Saccharomyces cerevisiae S288C: one gene and its partners. Changing the gene in region 2 together with the main gene of any one other region gives a genetic interaction. Each region holds a gene or a part of one and is shown on either strand. Other genes may lie near its edges.

What was found.
Region 1: mutations in SDT1 (region 2) and TRX3 together harm fitness more than expected from each alone (negative genetic interaction), as found in Saccharomyces cerevisiae (one large-scale study listed by BioGRID).
Region 3: mutations in SDT1 (region 2) and MET10 together harm fitness more than expected from each alone (negative genetic interaction), as found in Saccharomyces cerevisiae (one large-scale study listed by BioGRID).
Region 4: mutations in SDT1 (region 2) and NCP1 together harm fitness less than expected from each alone (positive genetic interaction), as found in Saccharomyces cerevisiae (one large-scale study listed by BioGRID).

What each region holds. Positions count from the first base shown.
Region 1 is NC_001135.5:255,797-260,461, reverse strand, and holds TRX3 (Trx3p), read right to left. Parts: upstream 885-4,665; coding exon 501-884; downstream 1-500. Other genes in the region: chromatin-silencing transcriptional regulator TUP1, read left to right, coding at 1-151; AHC2 (Ahc2p), read right to left, coding at 1,193-1,579; SRB8 (Srb8p), read right to left, coding at 1,808-4,665.
Region 2 is NC_001139.9:76,566-81,874, reverse strand, and holds SDT1 (nucleotidase), read left to right. Parts: upstream 1-3,017; coding exon 3,018-3,860; downstream 3,861-5,309. Other genes in the region: NIF3 (uncharacterized protein), read left to right, coding at 1-449; EDC1 (Edc1p), read left to right, coding at 689-1,216; Golgi transport complex subunit COG1, read left to right, coding at 1,510-2,763; VRG4 (GDP-mannose transporter), read right to left, coding at 3,968-4,981. UniProt on the Saccharomyces cerevisiae protein: Could be an enzyme that inactivates 6-azauracil by modifying it.
Region 3 is NC_001138.5:211,663-218,916, forward strand, and holds MET10 (sulfite reductase subunit alpha), read left to right. Parts: upstream 1-1,649; coding exon 1,650-4,757; downstream 4,758-7,254. Other genes in the region: PTR3 (Ptr3p), read left to right, coding at 1-1,311; condensin subunit SMC2, read right to left, coding at 4,932-7,254. UniProt on the Saccharomyces cerevisiae protein: This enzyme catalyzes the 6-electron reduction of sulfite to sulfide. This is one of several activities required for the biosynthesis of L-cysteine from sulfate.
Region 4 is NC_001140.6:188,917-193,477, forward strand, and holds NCP1 (NADPH--hemoprotein reductase), read left to right. Parts: upstream 1-1,626; coding exon 1,627-3,702; downstream 3,703-4,561. Other genes in the region: BCD1 (Bcd1p), read left to right, coding at 1-108; SRB2 (Srb2p), read right to left, coding at 215-833, 935-948; DOG2 (2-deoxyglucose-6-phosphatase), read right to left, coding at 3,889-4,561. UniProt on the Saccharomyces cerevisiae protein: This enzyme is required for electron transfer from NADP to cytochrome P450 in microsomes. It can also provide electron transfer to heme oxygenase and cytochrome B5. Involved in ergosterol biosynthesis.

The DNA of each region.
Region 1 (4,665 bases), on a different chromosome or scaffold from region 2:
GTTATTGATGTTGCAAGGTCATAGGAATTCAGTTATATCTGTGGCTGTGGCAAACGGGTCTCCGCTGGGTCCAGAATATAACGTTTTTGCTACTGGTAGCGGTGATTGTAAAGCAAGGATTTGGAAGTATAAAAAAATAGCGCCAAATTAAGAACAGAACACAAAAGGAACACTTTACAAATGTAACTAACTAAACTATTCTTCAATTCATTGTCATTATATCTTTCTCTCTATTCTTTTTTATCTACTTATTTGTTATGTTATGATCCAGGTACGCTTTAAAACAAACAGTTACTTTCCTCACCATTCATCCCTTCCCCTCCTTTTCCTGTGTTTCTGAATATTGCGGTTCATTATTCTTTGATATGAATTTATTTGTGTATTGTATAAGCTTACTTTCCTTTTATATGTATATGTATATATATATATATATATACTATCTTTTTTCTTATATTTAAAACTAAAAAAAAAAAAACTACATGTGCTCATGAATATAAAATTTATAGATCTTTGATTCCCTTCTCTAAAGCAGTAGGGTTAGCTCCAATGATCTTGCCGATGAGTTGGCCATCCTTGCCAAGAACAAAGGTGGGCATAGCCGTCACTTCACACTCTTTGGCAATATCTGGTGATTCGTCCACGTCGCACTTGACAAATCTTACATCTGGATAAGCCTGAATTAATTTCGTTAAGTGTGGTTGCATCATCTTACAGGGGCCACACCAAGTAGCATAAAAATCGATGACTAGTTTATCATTTTGCTTGATCAAATTCCTAAATTCTGTTAGGTTCGTCAATTTAGTAATACTGGTGTATGAGGACTGGAATCTTATGCTTTTTAGCGGTCTCACCGCCATCCTCATCACAGGCTTATAGAACAACATAACAGCTTTGGTTTCTCTATGTACTAACCAATCCTGCTTTCTTTGGTTAGGGGGCTAGCTCATTTTATATCTCATCGGGGCAATTTTTTCCATCACAGAATACTAGGCAACAAAATCTGCAGAAGCACAATCCACATTTGGAATTAAAAGATAGTGAAAAATGTACATGAACCCCAACCAGTAACTTAAACATAATATTTTGGGTCACTATATCTAGGGCGTTGTTCTTCTTTGTGATTTATGCAATATACGCATATATGTATATATATATAAATATATGTTTAAAAATGTCCATAGCCGCTATTTGATCATAATAAGCCATCTTCATACAAAGCCAACAATTGATCGTTCTCTGCTATATAAGCGTTGATATCTAGGGCAAACTTGTCCCAGTCTATCTGGGGAATGTCGTCGTTGCTAATCCATTTTTGCTTTTGAAATCCGTTCTCTACAGTGAAAATTTCTCGCAGTAAATCCCTATTCTCCGCCAATACATCAACAAATTCCTGGTAATTCTTGGTATTTTGAATTTTGTGGAAAAGAGAACACAGATTCTTGACAAAAGATTCTCTTTCGTTAATAAGCGTCTCTAGCTGTGTTCTTCGTTGTTGCAGTACGATGTAATCGAGATCTTGATGCAGGTCAGTTTTTTGAAACTTGGCCACAGCATCGTGCGTTCCCTTTGGGGTGATCATTCCAGTTTAAATAGACTGGTACACGCTAGTACTGATCTTGTAAGCGGATGAGCACTTTGTCTTAATCCTCCTTAACCATCGCTCATAAACCCCAGTTTTATAATCGGTGGCAAACATGTCATTTGGTACGGTATCATTTAGAGGAATCAATTGGTTGGGTATTAAAACTGACACATAATTACTGTTATTGGTAAATTTATAATTTATCCATTTGGATATATTCTGAGATCAATGTGGATTTTTCCTCTCAAACCGAGCATCAAAAAGACTCAGGTTTACACAGGAATCGTTAAACGCAGTCGTATCATTACTGCCTGTAGCCATGTCATCTGTGTACTTGGTATTATAGTTGGAGATGAAGTGGTACGGCTCCATGGAAAATGTGCAGACATATTTATGATCTTTCTTGTCATAAATGAGCCATTTCTGTTCGTTTTCGTGCGCTATTTCAACTATGCCGATTCCTAAATTTAAACTAAACGATTCTTCTTGGTCTGCATCTTCTTCTTCCCCGTAGTCGCCACTATGAAGTTTTGTTTCCTTAACGAAAGAGGACACTTGGAATGGTGGTAAGTTCAGCAATTTCTTCGGTAGTTCGACCTTACCGCTTGTGTGGAATGCTGGGGCATCAATTGTGGATGAATAGATGGCGAATGATTTCAATGAAGACAAAATTTCGTACAAGAACAGCTTCAATCTTAAATTAAATGATATTTTATCAAACAGCTTGCATATGCTATCAATGAATGGACTTGTGGGTTTATCAGCTGATAAATCAGCGATGATGCGTTGGAAAATGGAATCCTGATGAAAGCTAAAAATTTTCAAGACGGCATCTATTTGGATTTCTCTCTTAGATAAATTTCCTTCGTTCAGTTCACTTAATTGTCTTATGATCTTTATTAGTAAATGATAGTTCTCCATGGAAATAACTATCATACCAGAAGTTTCTCTTTGAAACCTCATCGATAATGACGTTATAATCTCGATCACCACAACGATGTAATTATCATCTATCTTTTGGTTGTTGTTTTGCAAACAAGAAGTGCAGAAATCTTTCTCCACTATTTGGGTTATCATCTCAATGGTCTGCATATCCTTCAGTTGGTCAAATATTTGTGAACATAAATCATTAGAATTAGTTATTTCGATAATTTGGAATATGAAGTTCTTCAAGTCTTCCATTGCCATTGCTGGCTCATTATTCTCCATGATTTTTTTGATGCAGAAACAGGTAAACGCTTGGAAAACCCAAAGATTGGCAAAGTCCATCATAACGTAATATTCTACATGATCAATTTCGTCGACTGTGTGATCATCATCGTCACTTTTATCATCGTTGGTTACAACAGTGTCATTGTCTGGTTGTCCACTACCCAATGGAATATCGTTAAGATCGGTTTCCGACGGACAAGTTGAGTAGTACAAAATATCCTCCAAAATATTAGATGAGTTTTCCACGCTATCATTCAATAACAACATAATGATTTTTGTAGATGTTGCAAGTAATTTGGGAGATGACCCATAAGTTATTAAAATTTTCAATAGGATCTCATAATAATTTATTTCACATTCGTTGCCATGATATTTTTTTTCTAATTCATAACATGTAAGTAAAATTTTCTCAAAATTTGACTTTATGAATTGTTCTTTATGATACTTCAAAAACAGACCATATGAGCCGTCATTATTTTCCAAGTTTATTGGTAATAATCGAATAATATACTCGAGCCCCAACACATTCTGCGTCACTTCAAAAGTTAGAAGTTTTAGAGAGATCAATTGAATTAAATTTTTGTTAGTAAAGTCTTTCCTTTTCAAGAAAATGGACATAAATTTATTGTACTCCTTCAAGTTAGTGGCAATCAAAAGCATGACATTGTTTCGTGCTTTCTGGAACTGTTTGCTTGTATTTGTATCAATGATCTCGGAGTTGTGTAGTAGAAACCTGATGTTTACTTGAAACACCTCGGGAAAATTCCAAGTCTGTCCAACAGCTTGGTTTGAATTATTGATCATGGAATACACCTTCAAGACTTCTGATTTATCATTCTTCAGCTTCTCAGTTTTCAATTTCTCATCATTGTAAACAGATTGTAACTCAATCCTTAAATCGTTATCCACCTTTAAAACAAAAGGGAAGTTTTTCATAAAAAATTTCCAGAATGGCATAAATGAAGTCACATTATAAGCAGGCACGTCTTTTTCTTTCAAAACTTTCTTGTAAATGAATATGAACGTCTTCGTAAAAAGAATATGGTCATTAATGAATTGTGAGAACAATTTTTGGTAGCATAGCAAGATGTCCATCAATGCCTCCAGAGATTCTATATCACTTAGCAATTGATGGTAGACAATAAACTCGATCCACTTAAAAAAGTGGTGGAAAACCTCCAGATCGATACAAAAAATCTTGAATATTTTTAGCAACACTGTGCGGTTAACACTAGATAAAATACCGGAACATAAATGTGATAAGTACCATTCTGCAACCATGATTTTAATGCTCAGAGGAGTTTTCGACAGTTGCAAATTAGTTATATCATTGGAGAGTATTCGCATTTTGATTTGTTCTGTGATTTCCACGAGTTGGTCGAAATTAAAAATTTCATAAAATTTAACGTCATATTCCATAACGTTCCTCAATACCATATTGTATTGACTTTTCATCAACGGTGAAATTTTCAAGTTAATTAACAGCTGGACATGCACAAACTTATCATTGGAATCTTGGAGATAAAGTAGGCCGGAACTGATTAGCTTTCTGATATACGTAGGGACCTTAATGATGCCATAAGTAATTAGTATATTAAGCAGGCGATACAAAGAAGGCATCATATATGATACCACCCTCTTTTGGGCCGAAAAATTTTTGGCTAATTGGAAAACCAATGACCAAATGGCATCTTCTATCTGGAATTCGTGCAAATCCTCATCTGTTGAATTTATTCGCAATAGTAATAATTTCGCTACCAGTTGATTAGATTCATAGTGATCAAATTGCCTTGATGGATGTATGGACCAGAGAATTAATTGAATAATTTTATGCATTGTAAGGGGATTTTGGTCAACGTAAGTGGGCCAAT
Region 2 (5,309 bases):
TCGCAAAGTCTTATGCCTTGGAAACTGTAAGTGGCGAAACTGACGACTTGATTGGCTACGGTAGATTCGTAGAATTCAATAAAGACATCTCTTTGGAGCAAATTGTCAAAAATGTCAAGCGTGTTTTACGGGTTCCCTATGTACAAGTAGCATCTCTTGCTGCTCCATCCGCATGGAATCAACTCAAAATCAAAAAAGTCGCTGTCTGTGCCGGGAGCGGTTCTGGCGTGTTTAAGCAACTAAAAGAGGACGTAGACCTTTACTATACGGGAGAAATGTCACATCATGAAGTACTGAAGTGGAAAGAAATGGGCAAGACCGTTATTGTTTGCAACCACTCAAATACTGAGCGTGGATTCCTTCAAGACGTTATGAAGGGCTTGTTGCAAGATGAGGGCCACGAAGTAGTCGTAAGCAAAATGGATTGCGATCCTTTGACTGTTGCATAGCTGCTAGTAATTATATGGCTATATAGGATATCACAAATACCATACGTACTACAGTTTTATCATCCGGCTGTTCGTGTAAAATGATGTTGTTGTATCGGATAGAGAAATACGGATAGAAAAGGTAAAAGTCTTCAAATAACAAGGACAATAACATACTCTGTATTGAAGACGAAGTACTCAGCAAAGCGTAACGTAATTACACTTAGCACACAAATATACTCACACAAATATTACAAGGCATGTCGACGGATACCATGTATTTCAACAGCTCCAGGCTGTTGCCATCGGCTGGCAGGAACAAGACAAATAATCTAATCAAACAAAAAACTAGAAATAATCGTGCGAGGGGAAATGCTGCTAAGAACGCCAATAATAACAACTATATCACAGATATACCACCTCCTCAAACTCTTCCTAACGGTCAGAAACCTAACTTCGGCCATTCTTCCAACAAGAAACCATCATTTAATCAAAAGAAGCACTCTCCACCTTCTTCCCCTTCCTCTACAACTACTTTAGGTAAAAAAAACAGACAGAATAATAAAGAAACGCCACGACAGAACAACAAAGATGATACTCGTTTACTGAGTCAGAACCTAAAGAATCTGCTTCTGAACCAGAAACAATCCCCGCATGGCTCTCAAGGGATAATACCAATGGGTTGTAATGGCAGTGCCAAAAAACTCAGTCACTCTTATGCAGGCTCCACTTTCGCCACTAATGGTCCAAGGGAGGCTAAAAACTTGCCCAAACCAAGTTTTTTATAATCACCCTTTAGAGAGACATTTTTGATTTTTTTTTTTTTTTTTTTTTTTTTTTTTTTAGAATAATGCATATTTTTATTTGATATATACCTATGTACCAATTATACGAATGCTTATGTCTGTTTTGGATCTGGTCATCCAAAGCAATTTCTCAGATGACAATTTTTTTTTCCTATTTTCTGTTACAGTTCATCATTATGCTGAAGAAAAATGAAACATGGCGGTGAATAATAAATAACACATTCGTACAACAAATCTTGTGGTAGAAAACCTAAAAAAAACCAATACGATAGAAAATGGATGAAGTCTTACCATTGTTTCGCGATTCTCATATTCCACAGATTAAAGATTATCAATTGGAGTTACAGAACGATTTGACTAAAACCAATGAGGCCTTCCAAAAGAATTTGCTAAAGAACTATAACAAGATCTTAAGCTTGACCGATTCTGTTAATGACTTGTCGCTCAATTTGAAAAATGTTGATCAAGATTTTAAATCCCTGTGTTTCAATGATGAAAAATTTCAGTTGAATAAGTTAACTCCACTACCATACCAAACCACTACCCATATATCACCACCTCGTGACGAAGAAAAAGTCAGCATACCATCGCAAAACATTTTAGTAATTTCAAATTGGACCATCTCCATCAACAACTTCTGTAATCGTATAGTTACTTCCACTACTCCGTCGCGGATATTCGACGAGCTACTGTTGAATTTCCACGAATTATCTTTGATACCAGTTCCTTCCAAATTTGAAGCGCTTGTCAAGGACAAATGTTGTCGACTACAGAAGTTCTTGGTGGACTCTATGAAGACATTAAACTTAACTTTACTACAGTGGGTAAAACTATACAATTTACTAAACACGGAGTTTTCCTCGAAGTGGGACGATGATTTACTTTCTATATTCAATGAATCCCTATTCGAGACACTATTTAACGATAACGTTCAAGCGTTACTGATATCAAGTGCCAACAGCAAAGATCATCAATATCACTCCAATCAGCAATATAAGGACGCGATTGTTGTCGATTTTGTGAATTCGTCCACCTTTAGAGACCATCTCATTCGGAGAACCGTGAAAGAAATAAACACACATTTGGATACACTCTCTACTTTGAGAGCCAAGCTTAAGGAGCCTGAAACTCTTCATAAATTAGATATCTTCCATGATAATGATACGAACCTCAATGATGGCACTGTATCTCCACTTGATGATGATGCATTGAAACAATATATTGATACAGCGGTATTCTATTCAAAAGGTTTAACCAATGATACCACGTTGCAAATTTATCAAACGGTGCAGCCTACGATTGAAATCCTACAAAACTTAGAATTGTATAAATGCCCTCAAGAGACACTGACAGATTTGAGAAATAAATTGATTACTCAATTGCAAGAGTTTAAGACTCAGATCTCATCCCGCTTACCTTCACCACTGGAAAACTCAACGAGTGTTGTGGATGATTTTATAACTTCGTACAACAATCACAATCTCTTGCAATTAGTCATCGATCAAATTACTCAATTAAGGCAACAGTAATATAATAGCACGAGGGAGGGTACCCGCCTCGCAAACTTATTGATAATGATAATGGTATGGGCGTTGATATATACATATATATATATATATATATATATATATATATATACATAATATATATATGTTTATCTGTGTGTATCTATGTGGACTTCAATAAGTGATCGCCTTCTTGATATCATATTACTCCCCCATTTCACCTGAATTAATTTCGGAATACATGAGTAAGCTCTTGGACCGAATCATTACTAGGCTTCATGACTGTTGAATATACTGCATCCGATTTGGCAACCTATCAGAATGAGGTGAACGAACAAATTGCCAAGAATAAAGCACATCTTGAATCATTGACTCATCCAGGTTCGAAAGTGACATTTCCGATCGATCAAGATATTTCTGCTACACCTCAAAACCCGAACTTAAAAGTTTTCTTTTTTGATATCGACAACTGTCTCTATAAATCATCCACGAGAATTCACGATCTTATGCAACAATCTATACTGAGGTTCTTTCAAACACACTTGAAACTATCACCTGAAGATGCTCACGTTTTGAATAACTCTTACTACAAAGAGTATGGACTTGCCATAAGGGGACTTGTAATGTTCCACAAAGTGAACGCACTGGAATATAACCGGCTTGTGGATGATTCCTTACCACTACAAGATATCTTGAAACCTGATATACCATTAAGGAATATGCTGTTGAGATTGAGACAATCGGGAAAGATTGATAAATTGTGGCTTTTCACCAACGCTTATAAAAACCACGCAATACGTTGCCTGAGATTGTTGGGTATAGCGGATTTATTTGATGGATTGACATATTGTGACTACTCTAGGACAGATACGCTGGTCTGCAAACCACATGTTAAAGCATTTGAAAAAGCCATGAAGGAAAGCGGGTTGGCAAGATACGAGAATGCTTATTTTATAGATGACAGTGGGAAAAACATCGAGACAGGTATCAAATTGGGCATGAAAACATGTATTCATTTAGTTGAGAATGAAGTAAATGAAATTTTGGGGCAAACACCAGAAGGCGCTATTGTCATTAGTGATATATTGGAGTTACCACACGTTGTGTCCGACCTGTTCTAAGGTATATCAATTTTAAGTATAATTGTATATAAATCTACTTGCATTAGATGCCTCTATAAAATAAAATAAACCAAAAAAAAAAAATAAATTGCACCCCCCGTAAGTTCTCATTTACGTAAAGGTTGGGCTTGTTGCTTCTTTTGTTTGGCAACAGCATAAATAATACCTGATAGGAAACCAATAAAAATGGAGAGAATAGATAAGAAGTTTCTTGGAGCATCAAAGAAAATCAAACCAGACAAGGCAATTGGCAGCTTGTTCAAAGCCCCTACCATCGAATATGTAGTAGACGAAGTAACACGAACACACCAACCGGAACAGTAAGAAATACCGACGGATGCAACACCACTGATGATCATAGCAGTTAGCGAATCGTTAGAAAAGTTATTGGTCAAATTAACTGAAGACCAATCTTCCACACAGAAAGAAAACAGCAATAGAATAGGTAGAGCCAAAACATTGTTGTAAAACATAGTGTCGAAATCCTTGAAGTTAGTTAACTTAATTCTCTTTCTCATTATAAGAACGAATAATGCAGAAGTGATACAGTTGGTGAACATCCAGAAATAACCTGGGTTAAAGGAGGCAACAGCACCGGCTGCTCCTTCAGCCAATGAAGCAGCCTTGGCAGCCACAGCTTGCTGGTCACCCCAAGTTGCAACGACAGAAGAAAGGACCATCAACAAAAATGATGACAATTCCATGGAGGTGACAGAGCCACCAAAAAAGAGAACCTCACCATAAGCAATCAAGATAATAGTCAAATTCTTGAAAATGGTGTAAATTGGAACAGCCAAGTATTGTAAAGCCTTCGAAGAGGTGTAGATCATCAAGACCAGTAAAAAGGAAATAGGGAACCAGTTCTTGGCGTCTGTTTTGTTTAATGAACGGAACTTCGCATAGCCCAGTATACGTAGGATAATCAAGGTTATAGTACAAACCAAAGATTGCACGAAAAGCATGACAAAGTTCATGTTGAAATCCTTCAAATTGACGACGAACTTGTTAGTCACCGTCATTAAAATAGAGGAACCACAGTAGGATAAAATAGAGATCGGACCGGAATTGGCAACTGAAGCCCAAGGGTTATGGCCTGCATGACCTGTTTTCAATTCAGACATTCGGGCGAAAGATACTGTGTGGTTAGTGTGTTTGTTTTCTTAGGCTCTTTTGGTAATTAAGAGGATGTCAACAATTAATCGGCAACAAGAAATAGGCTTGGCAGCGTTATATATATTCTGTTTTTCTGTTCATTGTTTGTTCGGATCGCGAAATTTCAATTTTTTTCTTTCTTTTTTTTTTTTTCGGCCAAAACTATTATCCAAGGCTGGGTAAGAGGATTCTGAAAAACCCGTTTAGCTTTTCGTATATTGCGATTCATTACGCGTTTAGGCGACGTGTCTTCTTTCGTCAACTGTGATATTTTTCGTGTTATGGGCGGCTAATTCT
Region 3 (7,254 bases), on a different chromosome or scaffold from region 2:
TCTACGGACGTTACAATACCTTCCACAGCAAACTACCAAACAAATAGTGCACATGATCTGGACGAAGAAAAGGAGTACTTTTTTGCCAACTGTTTCCCCATGTACAGAAAAAAATTTCAGTTCAACACACACCCCAAATTCCTAGGGACGAAATCCAAATTATTCATCAACCAAAGCATTTCTCCCGATTGCACCAAATTTGCTCTAATTACTGAACACAAGTGGGAAATTTATTCGATTAATCCGAAGGACAACTCTCCTCAACTAGTATCATGTGGCAAGTCTAGTGGAGAATATGGTCCCAACTTCAACCAACTAACAGAGCAATCGTCATCTTCACTCTCCACTACTTCTCAAGCGTCAAAAAAGAAAAAGAAAAACTGGAGCCAACGTTTTTGCAAACTTTCCAATGATTTCTTGATAATATCGGGTTCGCAAAACATTCTTAATGTACACGACATACACCAAAACGGCAAACTCATCTATACCTACGTGTCGAGATTCCCCATCCGATGCATAGACATAGATCCAAGGTCGCAGATAATAGCCTACGGAATCACCGGAAAGGATAGACATACAGGCGCGGAACAAGCATTAGTCGTGATCCAACAAATTACCAGAAATAAAGTGACTTTGGAGCCCGAGTTCCCCCCACCAATCACCATAACACTTCCATACAGAGATCCCATCAATACCATACAACTTTCGCACGACGCCAAGTATCTGACATGTTCGACCGCGCTAGAGTCGCGGTTCTTGATCATATCTTTGCAGAAAATAAACGAACCAAGACTGATAATGAAAAGTGTTCGGTCCATAGACACTTCCTTAGAATCTGAAGGTATCACTGACACAAAACTTTTCCCAGGAAATCCAAATCTGATGTGTATCACATCAACAGCATTCAATTCATCTCCACTGGTCATAAACACCAAAATCACCCAAATTAACGGTGTACGGACCGTGGCACAACCATCCATGCTTATAAGGGTAGATGAGATTGGATGCAAGATTCACAAGTGCGAAATATCACCAAGAAACGACGCAATTGCCTTCCTCGACCGCAACGGATCAGTTTACATCATGTGTGCCCCCACCATGATGGACAACAACGAAAAAAGAAGGACAATCCTCGTTGAAACCGTGGCAAATGCCTACAGGGCTTATGAATCAGCTACTTTGCGGTTTAACCCAGAGGGCAACAAGCTTTATATTCTCGACAGAAAGGGGACTTTCTTTGTGGAAGACTTTGCATATGGCTTGCCCCAATCTCGCGAAATCACCAAATGTAAGCAAATATTCCACAAATAATGCATCTAAATATATACGTATGTTTAAGGTTCTGGTATACAGGTATTAAAAGAAAACACTATCAACATTCCCAATAAGATATACCACACCACGTGAGCTTATAGAAGCACGTGACCACAATTCACCCCACAGGTGTGGCTTTTTTGGTGCCGTAGAAAAGACTCATTCATGAATCGTCGGAAACCCATAGTCATCTTCGAGCAAAAGGTATATATAAGCAACAGAGGGCAGTAGTTCTCGAGACCACCATCTTTTGATTGGAAATAGTTTCGTTTAGATGGGGTGCACATAGTTTTTTTCAACTGCTTTTCCTCGAGGTCACCCAAATATACAACGAGATGCCAGTTGAGTTTGCTACCAATCCTTTTGGCGAGGCCAAAAATGCAACTTCACTGCCAAAATATGGTACACCCGTAACTGCCATTTCATCTGTGCTGTTCAATAACGTGGACTCCATTTTTGCTTACAAGTCCTTTTCTCAACCCGATTTGCTACACCAAGATCTAAAAAAATGGTCTGAAAAGCGTGGTAACGAATCACGTGGGAAGCCATTTTTCCAAGAGCTGGATATCAGATCTGGCGCTGGTTTGGCTCCTTTAGGGTTTTCTCATGGATTGAAGAACACTACAGCAATTGTTGCTCCAGGGTTTTCGCTGCCATACTTCATTAACTCTTTGAAAACCGTCTCTCATGATGGTAAGTTTCTTTTGAATGTTGGTGCTTTAAACTACGACAATGCTACCGGCTCTGTCACCAACGATTATGTAACCGCATTGGATGCTGCTTCCAAGCTGAAGTATGGTGTCGTGACTCCGATTTCCGCTAACGAGGTACAAAGTGTCGCCTTACTGGCATTGGCGATTGCCACTTTCAGTAATAACTCCGGAGCTATCAATTTATTTGACGGATTAAACTACTCGAAAACCGTCTTGCCGTTGGTCGAATCTGTTCCTGAGGCATCTATTTTGGCAAAACTATCCAAAGTTATTGCACCAGATGCTGCCTTTGATGATGTCTTGGATAAGTTTAATGAATTGACTGGATTGAGACTACATAATTTCCAATACTTTGGTGCTCAGGATGCTGAAACTGTGTTTATCACTTATGGGTCTTTAGAATCCGAATTGTTCAACTCTGCGATTAGTGGTAATAATTCCAAAATCGGGTTAATCAACGTCAGAGTGCCATTACCTTTTAACGTTGCTAAGTTTGTCACTCACGTTCCATCCACTACCAAACAAATTGTTGTTATAGGCCAAACTTTGGATGGTTCTTCGCCTTCTTTCTTGAGATCTCAAGTTTCAGCCGCCTTATTTTACCACGGCCGCACCTCAATTAGCGTTTCTGAGTACATCTATCAACCAGATTTCATTTGGTCCCCAAAAGCTGTCAAATCAATTGTATCGTCATTCATCCCTGAATTCACTTACAATGCCGATTCATCTTTCGGCGAAGGATTCATTTATTGGGCCTCTGATAAGAGTATCAATATTGATGTTGCCTCCAAACTTGTGAAAGCTCTGTCTTTGGAAGATGGGAAATTTGTGTCTTTGAGAACGAAATTTGATAACTTGGCTAATGCTGGTACCTTCCAAGCTCAATTTGTGACCTCGAAAGAACAGATACCTGTTTCAAACATCGATTCTACGAAATTATCAGTCGTTGAAGATGTCAGTTTATTGAAGCATTTAGACGTAGCTGCTACCGTCGCAGAACAAGGTTCAATTGCGTTGGTTTCCCAAAAGGCAGTTAAAGATTTGGATTTAAATTCTGTAGAAAGTTACGTCAAGAATTTGGGAATTCCTGAATCATTCCTAATATCTATTGCGAAGAAAAACATCAAATTGTTTATCATCGATGGTGAGACCACTAACGACGAGTCCAAATTGTCCTTGTTTATCCAAGCCGTTTTCTGGAAATTGGCCTTCGGTCTAGATGTCGCAGAATGTACCAACCGTATCTGGAAAAGCATTGATTCAGGTGCAGACATTTCAGCAGCCTCGATTTCTGAATTTCTCACTGGTGCATTCAAAAACTTCCTCAGTGAGGTTCCGCTAGCGCTGTACACTAAATTTTCTGAAATAAACATTGAAAAGAAAGAGGATGAGGAAGAGCCTGCAGCTTTACCAATTTTCGTTAATGAAACATCTTTCCTCCCAAATAACAGTACCATTGAAGAAATACCATTACCTGAGACCTCTGAGATCTCTGATATTGCCAAGAAGTTGTCCTTCAAAGAGGCATATGAAGTTGAGAATAAACTAAGACCCGATTTACCCGTCAAGAACTTCGTCGTGAAAGTTAAAGAAAATAGACGTGTTACGCCTGCTGATTATGATAGATATATTTTCCATATTGAATTCGATATTTCTGGTACTGGAATGACTTATGACATCGGTGAAGCCCTCGGTATTCATGCCAGAAACAATGAATCTTTGGTCAAAGAATTCTTAACCTTCTATGGTCTAAATGAATCCGATGTTGTCTTAGTCCCCAACAAGGACAACCACCATTTGTTAGAAACAAGAACCGTCTTACAAGCATTTGTGGAAAATTTGGATATTTTCGGTAAACCACCAAAAAGATTTTACGAATCATTGATTCCATATGCCTCTAACGAAGAGGAGAAGAAAAAATTAGAGGATTTGGTTACTCCTGCCGGTGCAGTAGATTTGAAGAGATTTCAAGATGTGGAGTATTATACATATGCTGACATTTTTGAATTGTTCCCATCTGTTCGCCCATCTCTTGAGGAACTTGTTACTATCATTGAACCATTGAAGAGAAGAGAATACTCAATTGCCTCCTCTCAGAAAGTTCATCCAAATGAAGTTCATTTATTGATCGTTGTTGTTGATTGGGTGGATAATAAAGGAAGAAAAAGGTACGGTCAAGCTTCTAAGTATATCTCAGACCTTGCTGTCGGTTCAGAATTGGTCGTTAGCGTTAAACCATCTGTTATGAAATTACCACCATCTCCAAAGCAACCAGTTATTATGAGTGGTTTAGGTACTGGTTTGGCACCATTCAAGGCCATTGTTGAAGAGAAATTATGGCAAAAGCAGCAAGGTTATGAGATTGGTGAAGTCTTCCTATATCTAGGTTCAAGACACAAAAGAGAAGAATATTTATATGGTGAGTTATGGGAGGCTTACAAAGATGCAGGTATTATCACACACATCGGCGCTGCTTTCTCAAGAGACCAACCTCAAAAAATTTACATTCAAGATCGTATCAAAGAGAATTTGGATGAATTAAAAACTGCAATGATTGATAATAAAGGTTCATTTTACTTGTGTGGCCCTACTTGGCCAGTTCCAGATATTACTCAAGCTTTGCAAGACATTCTGGCTAAAGACGCCGAGGAAAGAGGCATCAAAGTCGACTTGGATGCCGCAATTGAAGAATTAAAGGAAGCATCAAGATACATTTTAGAAGTCTACTAAATTAATATAGTAATAAAAACTAAATATCTATTTATTGAACCTGTCTTGAACATTTCTATTTTTTTTTTACTTTTAGTTTTCTTCTATGCGCAAGCTTTTCTATTGGCTGCCAAATAGAAAATTATTGAAATATGATTACATTACAATATTTATTTGTCTTATGAAAACTAACCATCACATTATACTAACTACGGAGGTACCATCTTGAAATCTCGTCCTGAAGACCCTATTAGCATTGGCAAACATACCTTCTTTAAGCGAGACTACAATGAACTGAGATCCTTTAAACCTTGTTTTAATCAAATGACCTATATTTTGCGTATGACTTAAATCAAGAGCAGCATCAACTTCATCCAAAATATACATAGGCGCTGGTCGAAATTGCAACAATGCCATAATCAATGACAAAGCAATCAACGACCTTTGCCCACCGGACAATTCAATCAAACTTTCCTTCCATATATTACCAAGCTTTACTTTAACCTCTAAACCCTGCGTTACGTCCTTACCTTCGCATGGAACCAATTTTGCAAATGAATTTGGTAAAAGGTCTGCAAAAATATTACCAAAATCAAGTGTCACTTTCTCCCATGTTTTGACTAAAGTTTCTCTTTTATATTCGTTCAACTTCGATATAGTCTCTTGGATTTTCATCTTATCTTTTTCAATCGTTTTAATCATTGTTTTTAATGCTGCCTCCTTTTTCTCAACATTTTCTATCATATTCATAATATTTGGATTAACTTTTTTTCTGAGCTCTTGAAACTTCTCGTTCAATTGTTTACTCCTTTCTCTGTAAGTATCCAAATCGATACCCTCATTTTGTTTGACGATATTTCTCACCAGATCAAAATCCTCAAGAAATTCGTGTTTCTGTCGCAGATCTTCAATTATCTTTTCCATGTTGTTCGTATTAGACTTATATTTGTTCAAGTCATGGACCAATTTTTGTAGTTCTAATTCACTGCTTTTTTTCTCGTCCTGTTTTTTCTTTATCAATGTTTCTAATTCATTTAGTTCATCATCAATGTCCATCAACCTTTTCTTTTCTTCGTTCAGTTCTGTCTGGACTGTTACAAGGTCGTCTTCAACACCTCGTATCTTTCCCTCCAAATCAGAATTTTCCAATTTCAAACTTTCAATAGATTTCAAATGGTTATGCAATAGCGTCTTATTAGAATCTAGTTCTGAGCTCAATTGCTCTGTTTCTAATTCCAAGTTTTGAAACAAGTCATATTTACGTTCTGACTCCGATTCCTGCTCCTCCAGCTCTTTCGCCAATAGTTTCAATTCCTTCTTTAATTCATTTAACTTGGATCCTTTATCGCTATCGTACTCCTTCATGTCTTTTTCAATGGTCGAAACTTCTTCTTGACATTTCTTTAAGCTCATTTGCTTGGTTTTGATTTCATTCTCACACTCTCCAATGTCCCTCAAAATTTCTTCATTCCTAGCAATTATTTGGGAAGATGGATTCGCGTCGAGATTACGCTTAGCCAAATCCAATTTATGCAACGAGAGATTTAAATCACTTTGAATGGTCTTTGTTTTTTGCGATGTAGCATATTGCGTCTGTAGCTCTTCCGTTACATGGTTGAGATCAGCCTGAATGGTCTCAATTTGTTTTTGAATTTGATTGTATTTTTGAATATCAACTAATAACGATTCAGAGGTATTTCTACTACCACCAGACAATGTACCCTCTGGGTCGTATACATCACCTTGAAGGGTGATACTTCTAGCGCGGATCTTTGGATGGAAGGTAATTTTCTTTGCTGTTTCCGGATCTTCACAGATTAAACTATTTCCAAAAATAAATTCCATCGCTTTAGTGATAGATTCATCAAACCTTATTAAATTTATTGCCAATTCAACTTTCCCAGGAGCAATTTTCTTGGCTAAATCAAGCACTTGAGAACTTATTGGCCTCGTATATATCTTATCAAGAGGTATGATGGTAACACGCTTGCGTAATCTTCCTCTTTCTAATAGCTGAGTGGCCGTCTGAGAATCTTGAACAACAACATTGAATAGCCTACCTCCGGCACAAGTTTGCAAAGCAGTAGCATAGCGAATATTATCATTATCTATCTGGAAAAGTTGACCCACCACCCCATGGACAAAGCTGGCTTCAAAATTAGGATAAGGTTTCGTATAGTTAAATTCCAGATTTGTTACGCGTCTTTTTAAATATTCAGAGTTCTTACATGTTTGATAATAATGGCTCTTCAATTTATCCTCTCTTTGCTTCAGGTCTTTAATTCGTGATGGATCAAACCCATATTCGACTAGTCGGGCTCGTAGTTTATCGCACGTTTCTTGGCATTGTTTAACATGCTTCACATTTAACTCGTTATCTTTCGTGGCCTCCTTTAATTTAGGTTCAATTGTCAATAGCTCTTTCTTCAACAACTCCATTTTCATGCTTGATTTTTTTATCGCCAAGGAGACTTCATTCAGCTCAGTCTTTGCCTTGGCCAACTGTGCGTTATAACCA
Region 4 (4,561 bases), on a different chromosome or scaffold from region 2:
CCGACAGAAGAACCTGTACAGAAGGAAACACAGGACGCCAGCGACAGCGACAGCGACAGCGACGATGACTACAATCCGGGCTTATCCATGGATTTCCTCACTGCATGAGCCGAGATACATAAGGTTGAAGATTACTATTTAGACTATCTATCTATACGTATACACCGCAATATACAAACAGAAAAAAAAAAAAAGAAAAAGCATTCGTAAGAACTCACAGCTCCAGAGCACGAACATACTGGTACGCCAAATCACATATTTCGTTGCTGGTGTCCGGCCCCAACGAGTCGGATGAGGTTTTGTACTCCTTGGCCCGGATTTCAGCTAGGTGTCCTTCGATGCCTGCAATCTTGGTCTCAAACTCGCCCGCTTCGTCCGCCTGCAGTTCTATCAGGAGACCCTTGAACCCAGTGGAGGAGAAGAGGTTGACGAGTCGCACGGTGAGCCCGTCCAAGATCAACGTCTCACCGGCATCACCCTTGATGAGCTGCCTCTGCATCCAGATGTTGGACAGCTTGGACGACAAAATAGTGTCTATGGACTCAGGAACGCCCGTAGATGAGCCATTGAACACCAGCGCCGGAGGGATATCCGCCGCTGCGGCAGTCGTCACCATCGCTGAGTTGTCCTTGATTAGCACGGTCTGCCGGCCATGGTGGTGGAACGTTATCGAGTACATGAGCTTGGAGACATCCGCGGGTAGGTTCTTGATAGAGCACCGGTACGTCCGAAAGTCTATCGACCAAGGGTCTCGCACGGACAGGATACTATTCGAGAGAGCATCCTTCAGTTCCGTTAGTGTAGCGGGAGTGGCTCTTTCCACGAATATAACGCTATATACATAAAAGAGAGAAAAAAAAAACTGTTGTTAGCAACAGGTAGTTCAATTGAAGAAATTCCGATGCGCCACGAAGGACGCTCCAGCTTTACATACGCTGATTTTCCCATGATGGATTGCTACTGTGCTTTCGAGCGCCGACTTACAAGATTTGCTCTTCCAGTAAAATTTCACTTTGGGAATCACACCGCGAAACTGGCATACTAACGCATAAGAAAACACAAGAAGAGAAACAACGATAAAATCACGCGGCGACATCTACAGTCCACCTGCCCCTTCCTTCGCTCAATTGCACTTTCCCATGCGCACTACCCATCTATATAGCTATGTATTCTATATCCACGCCTGCAAACGCACACTGTTCGTCCTCAGCCTCTATGCGTACGAGCCAGACCCTTGCTCCCAGTAGATAACGCACGCAAAACTCAAAAGATGGCACACCGGGGGAACAAAGGAGAGTAGAGTCTACCGAACGTCACCGCTGGTACCATGCAGCCATCACTACATACTAGCATCATACTACCACGATCACAGTTCACGACACATCACGTGTGTGCTCGTTTAGCGGTCAACCCGCTATTGTTCTCCAGCCAGCTTTTATCGTTTTGCATTTTTTTTTCGGGCTGCTTTTCGTTCTTCGAGGACAAACGCACCTGTAAAGCTCAGCGCGAGGTTATATATATAGTATAATATGGTGAACAATGTAGCTTAAGTTTGCGTTCCTGTAGTGGTCACCGCTACGCTAGACAACGACCGCGGTTTTCAAGTGATCTACTGTCGCACATATCATGCCGTTTGGAATAGACAACACCGACTTCACTGTCCTGGCGGGGCTAGTGCTTGCCGTGCTACTGTACGTAAAGAGAAACTCCATCAAGGAACTGCTGATGTCCGATGACGGAGATATCACAGCTGTCAGCTCGGGCAACAGAGACATTGCTCAGGTGGTGACCGAAAACAACAAGAACTACTTGGTGTTGTATGCGTCGCAGACTGGGACTGCCGAGGATTACGCCAAAAAGTTTTCCAAGGAGCTGGTGGCCAAGTTCAACCTAAACGTGATGTGCGCAGATGTTGAGAACTACGACTTTGAGTCGCTAAACGATGTGCCCGTCATAGTCTCGATTTTTATCTCTACATATGGTGAAGGAGACTTCCCCGACGGGGCGGTCAACTTTGAAGACTTTATTTGTAATGCGGAAGCGGGTGCACTATCGAACCTGAGGTATAATATGTTTGGTCTGGGAAATTCTACTTATGAATTCTTTAATGGTGCCGCCAAGAAGGCCGAGAAGCATCTCTCCGCCGCGGGCGCTATCAGACTAGGCAAGCTCGGTGAAGCTGATGATGGTGCAGGAACTACAGACGAAGATTACATGGCCTGGAAGGACTCCATCCTGGAGGTTTTGAAAGACGAACTGCATTTGGACGAACAGGAAGCCAAGTTCACCTCTCAATTCCAGTACACTGTGTTGAACGAAATCACTGACTCCATGTCGCTTGGTGAACCCTCTGCTCACTATTTGCCCTCGCATCAGTTGAACCGCAACGCAGACGGCATCCAATTGGGTCCCTTCGATTTGTCTCAACCGTATATTGCACCCATCGTGAAATCTCGCGAACTGTTCTCTTCCAATGACCGTAATTGCATCCACTCTGAATTTGACTTGTCCGGCTCTAACATCAAGTACTCCACTGGTGACCATCTTGCTGTTTGGCCTTCCAACCCATTGGAAAAGGTCGAACAGTTCTTATCCATATTCAACCTGGACCCTGAAACCATTTTTGACTTGAAGCCCCTGGATCCCACCGTCAAAGTGCCCTTCCCAACGCCAACTACTATTGGCGCTGCTATTAAACACTATTTGGAAATTACAGGACCTGTCTCCAGACAATTGTTTTCATCTTTGATTCAGTTCGCCCCCAACGCTGACGTCAAGGAAAAATTGACTCTGCTTTCGAAAGACAAGGACCAATTCGCCGTCGAGATAACCTCCAAATATTTCAACATCGCAGATGCTCTGAAATATTTGTCTGATGGCGCCAAATGGGACACCGTACCCATGCAATTCTTGGTCGAATCAGTTCCCCAAATGACTCCTCGTTACTACTCTATCTCTTCCTCTTCTCTGTCTGAAAAGCAAACCGTCCATGTCACCTCCATTGTGGAAAACTTTCCTAACCCAGAATTGCCTGATGCTCCTCCAGTTGTTGGTGTTACGACTAACTTGTTAAGAAACATTCAATTGGCTCAAAACAATGTTAACATTGCCGAAACTAACCTACCTGTTCACTACGATTTAAATGGCCCACGTAAACTTTTCGCCAATTACAAATTGCCCGTCCACGTTCGTCGTTCTAACTTCAGATTGCCTTCCAACCCTTCCACCCCAGTTATCATGATCGGTCCAGGTACCGGTGTTGCCCCATTCCGTGGGTTTATCAGAGAGCGTGTCGCGTTCCTCGAATCACAAAAGAAGGGCGGTAACAACGTTTCGCTAGGTAAGCATATACTGTTTTATGGATCCCGTAACACTGATGATTTCTTGTACCAGGACGAATGGCCAGAATACGCCAAAAAATTGGATGGTTCGTTCGAAATGGTCGTGGCCCATTCCAGGTTGCCAAACACCAAAAAAGTTTATGTTCAAGATAAATTAAAGGATTACGAAGACCAAGTATTTGAAATGATTAACAACGGTGCATTTATCTACGTCTGTGGTGATGCAAAGGGTATGGCCAAGGGTGTGTCAACCGCATTGGTTGGCATCTTATCCCGTGGTAAATCCATTACCACTGATGAAGCAACAGAGCTAATCAAGATGCTCAAGACTTCAGGTAGATACCAAGAAGATGTCTGGTAATCAGCCCACTGATCAAGCCTTCGGCGCGGTTGTTCAACCACACGATCTGTATCAAAGAAAAATAAGTTAGATAACCAAAAAAAAAAAAAATTTCATACTCACTATAAGAAATCATACGCAGTTCAACTTTTGCTTTTACATACAATTTTATCTATATATTCGTGCTTCTGCGATGTCCTTATTTATTTAATCTCTCGTCAAAGGGTTGTTTACCTGGATAACGATACCGTTCTCATTGTTCTTAACCACGGAAACCTGTGTCAAATCACAGACCACATAATCTGCACCTGCGTCAAATAAAACGCTCTTATCATACGAGGATGTTATACCCACAGTAATTGCGCCCATTGCTTTGCCGGCCTTTATGCCCACGGGTGCATCTTCAAAGACAACATACTTCAGATCCTGTTTACCAGTTAATTGCAAATCTTGACGCAATAAATCACGAGCTCTTGAGTAACCCTCGGGATCAGGCTTACCGTTCTTCACGTCAAATCCAGTAATGAAAACTTTGGGCTTTCCAACATTTTTCAATATTGTCTCGAACCATGAAAATGCCAAATATGGAGAACCAGAGGTAACGATAGCCCATTTCCTTTCAGGTAACTTTTTTTGAGTCTCAGTATCTACATCTAACGATAACAATAAATTCTCTGCACCAGGGATAAGGCTTACTGTGTCCAAATAATTATCTGCCATATCCTTTTCTAACGCAAGAACACCTTTATTATCGGTATTGTCCAATTTTGGAAAAAATTTCTTCATCATTTCTTGTGATCTTGCACCATGGGAATGCTTGAATAACTCAACAGGATCAACCCCATGCTGACGGCATAATTTTTTCCAGGCACTTTCCGCT